Linked DNA regions of Saccharomyces cerevisiae S288C. The gene in region 2 interacts genetically with the main gene of each other region. Each region holds a gene or a part of one and is shown on either strand. Other genes may lie near its edges.

The links.
Region 1: mutations in SIS2 (region 2) and PSD2 together harm fitness more than expected from each alone (negative genetic interaction), as found in Saccharomyces cerevisiae (2 studies listed by BioGRID).

What each region holds. Positions count from the first base shown.
Region 1 is NC_001139.9:835,527-839,287, reverse strand, and holds the start of PSD2 (phosphatidylserine decarboxylase 2), read right to left. Parts: upstream 2,147-3,761; coding exon 1-2,146. Other genes in the region: LSO2 (Lso2p), read left to right, coding at 2,623-2,901; pseudouridine synthase PUS6, read left to right, coding at 3,385-3,761. UniProt on the Saccharomyces cerevisiae protein: Catalyzes the formation of phosphatidylethanolamine (PtdEtn) from phosphatidylserine (PtdSer). Plays a central role in phospholipid metabolism and in the interorganelle trafficking of phosphatidylserine.
Region 2 is NC_001143.9:576,353-580,113, forward strand, and holds SIS2 (phosphopantothenoylcysteine decarboxylase complex subunit SIS2), read right to left. Parts: upstream 1,772-3,761; coding exon 83-1,771; downstream 1-82. Other genes in the region: YKR073C (uncharacterized protein), read right to left, coding at 1,835-2,155; AIM29 (Aim29p), read left to right, coding at 2,857-3,324; YKR075C (uncharacterized protein), read right to left, coding at 3,475-3,761. UniProt on the Saccharomyces cerevisiae protein: Component of the phosphopantothenoylcysteine decarboxylase (PPCDC) involved in the coenzyme A synthesis. Acts as an inhibitory subunit of protein phosphatase PPZ1, which is involved in many cellular processes such as G1-S transition or salt tolerance.

The DNA.
Region 1 (3,761 bases), on a different chromosome or scaffold from region 2:
TGCATCTAGGACATGTCCAGATGCGTTTAAAATTAGTGGATTTTCTCCATGACTGTAGCCCTTCAACTAATTGTGATCTAGTAATGCTCTGGCCGGCCCAAGCAGATTTATTGAAATGCTGAAAGAGTTCAAAAGAATCGGCCATCGTGAATGAACCAAGACGTTCAAGATAGAGCATTACTTGAATAATGTCGAGTCTCTCTAAGTTGACTGATGTGTCAACAGCTTCTTTCCAAAAGCTCTTTTTTAAGAACGGATATGAAACATATTTGAAGCTCGAATATAATACCGGTTGCTTAGGAGCATGTGCTGGCTCAACAGTGAGATCCAATGGTATCTCATAAGGTATCCATTCGTTTTCATGTTGTTGCTGTTGCAGCATATCAAACCAAGCCAGTTCGCATTTTGCAACGTCATCATTGAATGAAAATGAGTCTTTATCAACAACTTTGATACTGAAAGCAAAATTCGTTTCATGGGGAAAAACTTCGAAAGCGGCATATTCATTAAATTCTGGGTTTAAAGTATGTTTTCTCCAAGATGTCTTGAATACTCTTCTACCAAACGAAATAACGATAAATGGATCCATTTCATAATTAGTCTTGGACAACCGATTCCTTAATGCAGGTAAATTTTTGATAGCCCCAATATGCATAAATACTACCCCCATCGCATGTTCCTTTTTCGATATAAAAAAGTTACTTTTTGCTCTTCTGTATAAGTAATTTGCATATGATTTATTATGTTTACCCCTTTGCAGGTGTAAAAGCCGACTCCCAATGTATTCTTTTGATTGAAAATCAGAATCTTCACGCTCATCCTCATTATATATATCAAACTCCTCATCACTTTCCTGTTGGTTTTCAGATTCTTCGTCATCCACTGATGTTATGTCATTTTCCGACACTGCAGGTAATTTTGCAACATCTTCTGGTTCTACGATATCATATTCATCTAAAGCTGTTATCATTGAAGATAGACTGATACGGGTATCTTCGTCGATGTCATGCACATTTATGTCTGGCACATTTGGATGATCTGCTTCTTCAAAATCATTTAGAATATCTAGTTCTTCATCATTTAGCGAAACAACCTCAGATATAGAGTCGAATATAGTATCATTGTCTATATCGTACCTCCTCTCCGTACAAATGCTGCCGCTGCTATTCATATCTTCAATAGATTCCTCAGCATCTATTTCATCCTCGGCATTGACCTCTTCATCGTGGGCTAGATCAGTATCGCTATATGGTTTCTCGCGTCGTATTTCATTTCCACTAACAGCTGAACTATTGCTCAACATATCTTCTAGTGGAGGTGGCAAAGAACTAGAAGATCTCATGCGGGCCTTATTTCTATCTATTCTGCCCAAGTAAGTGTTCAACTCATTTCTCCAAGCATTGAAAGCCTGAAAAGTCGGGGTTCTTTTAACGTTACATTCTAGCTTAAATCCAAGCAAAATATCGCCCACTAGAAAGTTGCAGTTCAAGGAATCTTGGTCTTTCCCTCCTTTCATATCGTATAGATGGTACCGCTGAGCTTCAATTGAAAATTTATAGCTCGTCGTGGTGTCCTTCCTCTTGAATAAATCCAGTAATGAAATTTTTGCTTCACCCAAATATAGATAGCTATTAATCCTATTTTTGTGTGTGGACCCGGGACCTGTTGTTGAGAGAGAAGAGGAAGAATGTGAAGGGGCCGGTGTAGCTGAAGATGATACTGAATTAATTGATGTTGAAGTTTGATTACCTTTGGACGTAACATTCAAATTTCTCGACGAATGAGAGTGAGAACTTAGCCCTGAATTTGACAGTGTCGATGAAGATGTATTTGCAGTGGTTGTCCTTGGTCTACTGGGGGTAGTAGGGGGAGCTCCGGTTGGTAGGGCGTCGTATACTATAATCCTTAACCATTCAGATGTTGGATTTCTCGGAAGTTTGATCCTCAAGGTTTGATTCCAGTGTGTATTTGAGTTCTTGAGCTTGTTCGTCTTTTGACTATAAAATGTATTAGTGGTAACAAAACATACCGGGTTACAATTGAATGTCTTCAAGGCTTCAATATTTTCAGCTTGAATGACATGAATTTTTAAAATTAGCGTTGGCTTCTTGTTCTTGCCTCGCTTTCTGCCCTTAATAATCCTCATCTTCGTCGTTGGATGCTCCTGAAAATCGAGGATTCTTTACCAATTGATACAGCATCAACCACTTTGGGCTAGTTTTAGCATCAAATTGGAATAGTTGTCATATATAAGAAGAATTCCTTGAAGTAGCACATGCGTTAGGGCTAGGATCTCAAGTTTCCAAGAGTTTGACATGTGCCCTGCTTTTTTGTCTTTCTCCTTCTTCCAAACCTCATTTTAAAGTAACATAACCTTTGTATTTTTCATATTAGCCCTTAGTTTTTTTTTACCCTAAAAAAATTTTTTTTTTTTTCTTTGAGTCGTGAAAGCTTTTTTTTTCCAGTTAAAGACCCCTCAAAATGAAAAACTTGTATAATGTTTAAAATAAAGCTGAATAAGTTGAAACTCAAGTTTATATTTAATAGGTAAAAGAATTTATCAATTGAGCACAAAACCTGCCTATACAGGAAATAATAGAATAGCAAAGAGGAAGTAAAAAGATGGGTAAAAGATTTTCAGAATCCGCCGCAAAGAAAGCAGCTGGCTTAGCAAGAAAAAGAGATCAGGCACATGCTAAACAAAGAGCACAAATGGAGCAGCTAGAAGCGGAGGAAGCTTCTAAATGGGAACAAGGTTCGAGGAAAGAGAATGCCAAAAAATTAGAGGAAGAGCAAAAAAGACAAGAAAAAGCAAGAGCTAAAAAGGAGCGCGATGCGTTGCTAACCGCAGAGGAGGAGCAACTGGGCAAGGGTGGCAAGGGTAAAAGAAAAATGAAATAAATTTGAAGAATCTTAGCCTTATAGCGGCTAATAATTGCATATGATAAAGTCATTCCCACTTTATCTCCATAAACATAAAAACGCAAGACAAATAACGACAATAAAAGTAACAGTGGTAATAATAATACTTCTGTATGAGGATGCTTATCTTTTGCGGGTTGAGTACAAAAATACACATGGTAAGAAATCACTGTTCAACGTTATAAGAATAAAGAGGGACGAGGAAGGATAATGCAAGTGTAGTTTACAGTAAAAAGAATGACTTTATGGTACTAATGGTATGAATAGTTGAAATTATGTACATTAGATTTGCATATGTATGTATATATAGCTTGCTGTCATACAAGAAGATTGATAACAATGATAAAAGTTAATGAAAAATTTACTTTTTTTCTTTCATTAAAAGGCAAATAAATGTTTCTTGTGAAAACTTTATTGACGATTGCTCGAGACAATCAGTGGGCAAAAGGATGATTGTCAAGTATGTCAACTATCAAAGTTATTGAGGTATATACACAGAATGGACTGAGAAAGGTACGGCCCTATTATAACAGAAGATCAGCGTTCGTGAAGGGGCGCTGGTTGGGTAAGTTACTAATAGACGTTCTCGTTAGTGAATTTAAACTTCGCCCAAGAGCTTATTATTTGGACCAAATAAGGAAAGGCACATATAGGTTGATCCGAGATGGTGTGCCGCTGGTACCAGATCATCTCATGACTACCATAATCAAGAATCATGATGTTTTAGAAACAACTACGCATAAGCACGAACCGCCGGTAAAACAATGGTGTAGCCAGGAAGTTGAAGCGGAGGATTTACCTGGCAGAATAGCGGGATTCAATATTGTTTTTGAAGATGA
Region 2 (3,761 bases):
TTTGCCTAATGAGTATTTTTCCAGAAATTACAAAACACAAATAAGTAGAATGTGTTTAGTGTATTTGTAATTCATAGACTATTTATTGATGCTTATCTATTATACCTGGGGTTTCTGCTTCGTCCTCGTCCTCGTCATCATCGTCGTCGTCGTCGTCGTCGTCGTCGTCGTCGTCGTCGTCATCGTCGTCATCGTCATCATCATCGTTGTTGTTTTCGTTCTTATCTTCTGTATCTTCTTCTTCGTCGTCGTCTTCTTCCTCATCCTCATCATCGTCCTCTTCCTCGTTATTTTTTGGGTACCCACCCAATTTCATAACGATTTTGTTAACAATCTCATTCCAGTCCATCATACCCCCGAGACCAATATCACCATTTATATCCATAACTTTCTCAGACGGCTTGAAAACAGTGACCCAGGACATTTCCTCCTTTATCGTTTGTAGTTGCTTCTTTGTCATCATAGAATTAAAAGTGCTACTCACCATAGAAGGTGCCAAAAGAATGGGATAACTCGGATTCCAAGCTCTAATGACACTTGTCAGAAGATTGTCGCACAGGCCCAAAGCAATTTTTGATAATGTGTTTGCAGTTAATGGAGCTACTACCAGTATATCCGCCCAGCGACGTAGTTCTATATGAAGTACAGGATCAGTTCGTTGTTTCCATGCGTCCCATTCATCTTGGTCGGTCCATAGTTGAATATGTGGGGGTAACTCGACTACTTGAGCCATGTTGCATTGTCCTGGTGTTGGTGTCACTGGAGTTGCCGGAGTGGATTCGTACTGCGACATTTTATTTAGTTTTTCTGAAGATTTGATAATTTTCTTGGTATATCTTTGTTCGAAAAACTGTGTTGCTGATTGAGTGAGGATAACTTGAATGCTTATTCTATCACGTCCATATATTTCTTCTAGTTTTTTAATCATTGGCTTGATCTTAAATACCGATAACGAACCTGTAGCGCCAAACAACACGTGCAATTTTCCATCATCTTGAGGTAGTCTGGGATCCAAATTCTTGGAGTTCTCTCTTTTGGGGATGATGGAAGGAATGACGGACTGCTTCACTGGCGTTTCTTCCGGGGTAGAACGCACATTAATTTGGCCTGAAACATTGTTAGCTTGATCTTGTGCATCTTCCTTTCGAAGTGTAATACTGGTGGGGGCTTTGGCGGTTACCTTATTATTTTCTCTACTTATTGGCGTTGAAGTGGCCATGATTTTGTCAGGCTTCATGGTATCAACTATTTTAAGAGCACTGTCTTTTTTCTTAGGATCATAATCTTTCATTTCGTTGACGAGTGGAGACCCAGATAATTGCGTTGTTCTTGAAGTGTTGGTGTGGTTCGGTATAACTGCATGATTGCCAGGAATGGAATTTGAGACAGGAGCAGGATTACTATTTGGAGACTTGGTCCTTTCTGAGTCGTTCTTCAGCTGAGTCAGACTATCCTGCTTTTGCTGTTGCTTTAGATCACTGAAAGTGACGGCGGGGACTCTCTTCAAACCAGGCTCCGGAGTATTACTTACTACTGCGCCGGAGGTGCCGGTGGCATTCATAATAGATTTCGTAGTCGTGGTAGTAGCATTCGACAAAGTAGGGCTTATTGATTGCCTCCCTGACACGGGGGAGTTGATTATTGAATCCTTCCCCTTCGCATCCTCATGGTCCAACAAAATCTCTTTCTGTCCACGCGAAAACCTTGGACACTCTATAGACTGGTTATGGTCAGCATCTTGCTTCCCGCTAGTAGAGGCGACGGCAGTCATTGCTGTTTGCTTCTAGATCTTTCTTCCCTATTAATTTTTTCCTAACTAATATTTCTTTATATTTTATCCCGGAATATAAAGTAGTATGACAGCAAAGAAGGCCAGGCTAAAAAAAGATCTCTCCAAATGTAACTGGACGGCGCTGATAAGTGGACAAGTACAAGTGAGGGATCGTGATCCAAGAGCACTCTGTGACTTCTTCTCCTCTAATATCACCTCCCCAGAAAAGCATCGATGCCATTTTTTGCAAGAGAAAAAGTTGCGTGCGTCACTGCCCACGAGCACATGGGGTGAGTTATATAACATAAGAATATTGCTTTGACTCATGTTAAAAGCAAAAGAAAAAATAATAATGATCATTAGAGATACATCAAAGACGATCATGGCATTAACCCAGGGTACGTGTGTTAGATATGATAGGGTACCCCGCGCGTATAAGTTACGCCTTGAATGATATAACACGTTAAAGTTTCTAGATCACGTGAATCATTACCATTTTTTAGGTCATCCTACGGATAATGGCGAAACCACATAATTGCTTTGTAGATCTCTTTTTATGCTGGATGGATGGCCCTCTGGAATGCATCCTTCACGAACACAATTTATGAAACCTCAGGTTTGATGCTCCGGAAAGCCTATTTCTCACGTTTTCCGGCACTTAATGCGCATATAAAAACATAGTCTCTACGTTACGAGGATTTATCATAGAACCCAAATCAGCAGTAATAAATTTCCACGGTCAAATTAAACTCTTGTCGTTGATATGGGTGTAGTGTGATGGTGGTGACCACTATTTCGCCTTTATTAGTTATTTATATGAGTTAGCCCTCCGAAGAACTCATCCTTGTTAGCTCAGTTGGTAGAGCGTTCGGCTTTTAAGCGCATTTGCTTAAGCAAGGATACCGAAATGTCAGGGGTTCGAGCCCCCTATGAGGAGTTCTTTACTTTTTTAGATTCGGCGTTCAATGCTAAAGAAAAAAAATGAAAATAAGTTTCAATTAATAGTGAAAGAAAAGGAAGGAAGTTAGAACTGAAATGCGTAGACTACCTCCCCCAAATTTTTTCTTGTTTGGTTGCATTATTTCATGAATTCAACTAAAAGGCTGAAAATGTCAACAACCTTTCATGATTATGACTTGGAAGAGCCATTAACCTCAAATGCCAGACCACTAAAGAACTCCGTTATTACAATCCGAGTAATAAAATCTTTCCCATATAGAAACGTCAAGAACATAGTGCTGCACGATTACGATCTTGCTGATAAAACTGCAAAGGACCTGTTCAATGACGTTTTGAACAAAATTCAAAATGAAGGTTCATTCAGACCATTCCGTAATGTTAAGTTTGATACTTTAAAGATATACACGCACGCACATGGTTCCAAGACGGTTAATCTCGTGATCAATTTTGACCACGATGACGACTGGACTTTAGACATAGAGAATGACAAAAAAAAGCTGTTCGAGTATGGCATTGAGAATGAAACCGAAATTTCGCTTTTCAACAAAGAGGATTACCTAAGGTTTAAAGAAAACCCTGAAGAAAAATGGTGAGATGTTGTTTGGCTTATGGCCTTCATTAATAAGTAAGTGCTATGAATATATTACATATATATATATATATATGTTGTGTACGAGAGTATACTCGTATGTAAATTAACATCAAATGTGTATGTGGAAATGCAGAAGAGAGCAAACTCTCCTTTAAAAAACAACCTGGTTCCTATAAAAAATGTCTTCTTCCATAGTGCCAAATGTATAGTTGCTGAACTCATAATGAGCTTCTTTTATTGTTTCATCAGAATGAGAACTATTTTGATGGTGATGGTGATGATGGCGACGATGGTGACGGCGATGGTGGCGGGAATGTTGGATATCGTTTATGTTGATGAGGGATTCGCGGATAGTCCCCTTTGAGTCGATCTCCCTCTTCATCACGGCTTGGTTAAACTTCAACTTCCTGGGGAATTGTTCCTTCTTTTCGTTCATAA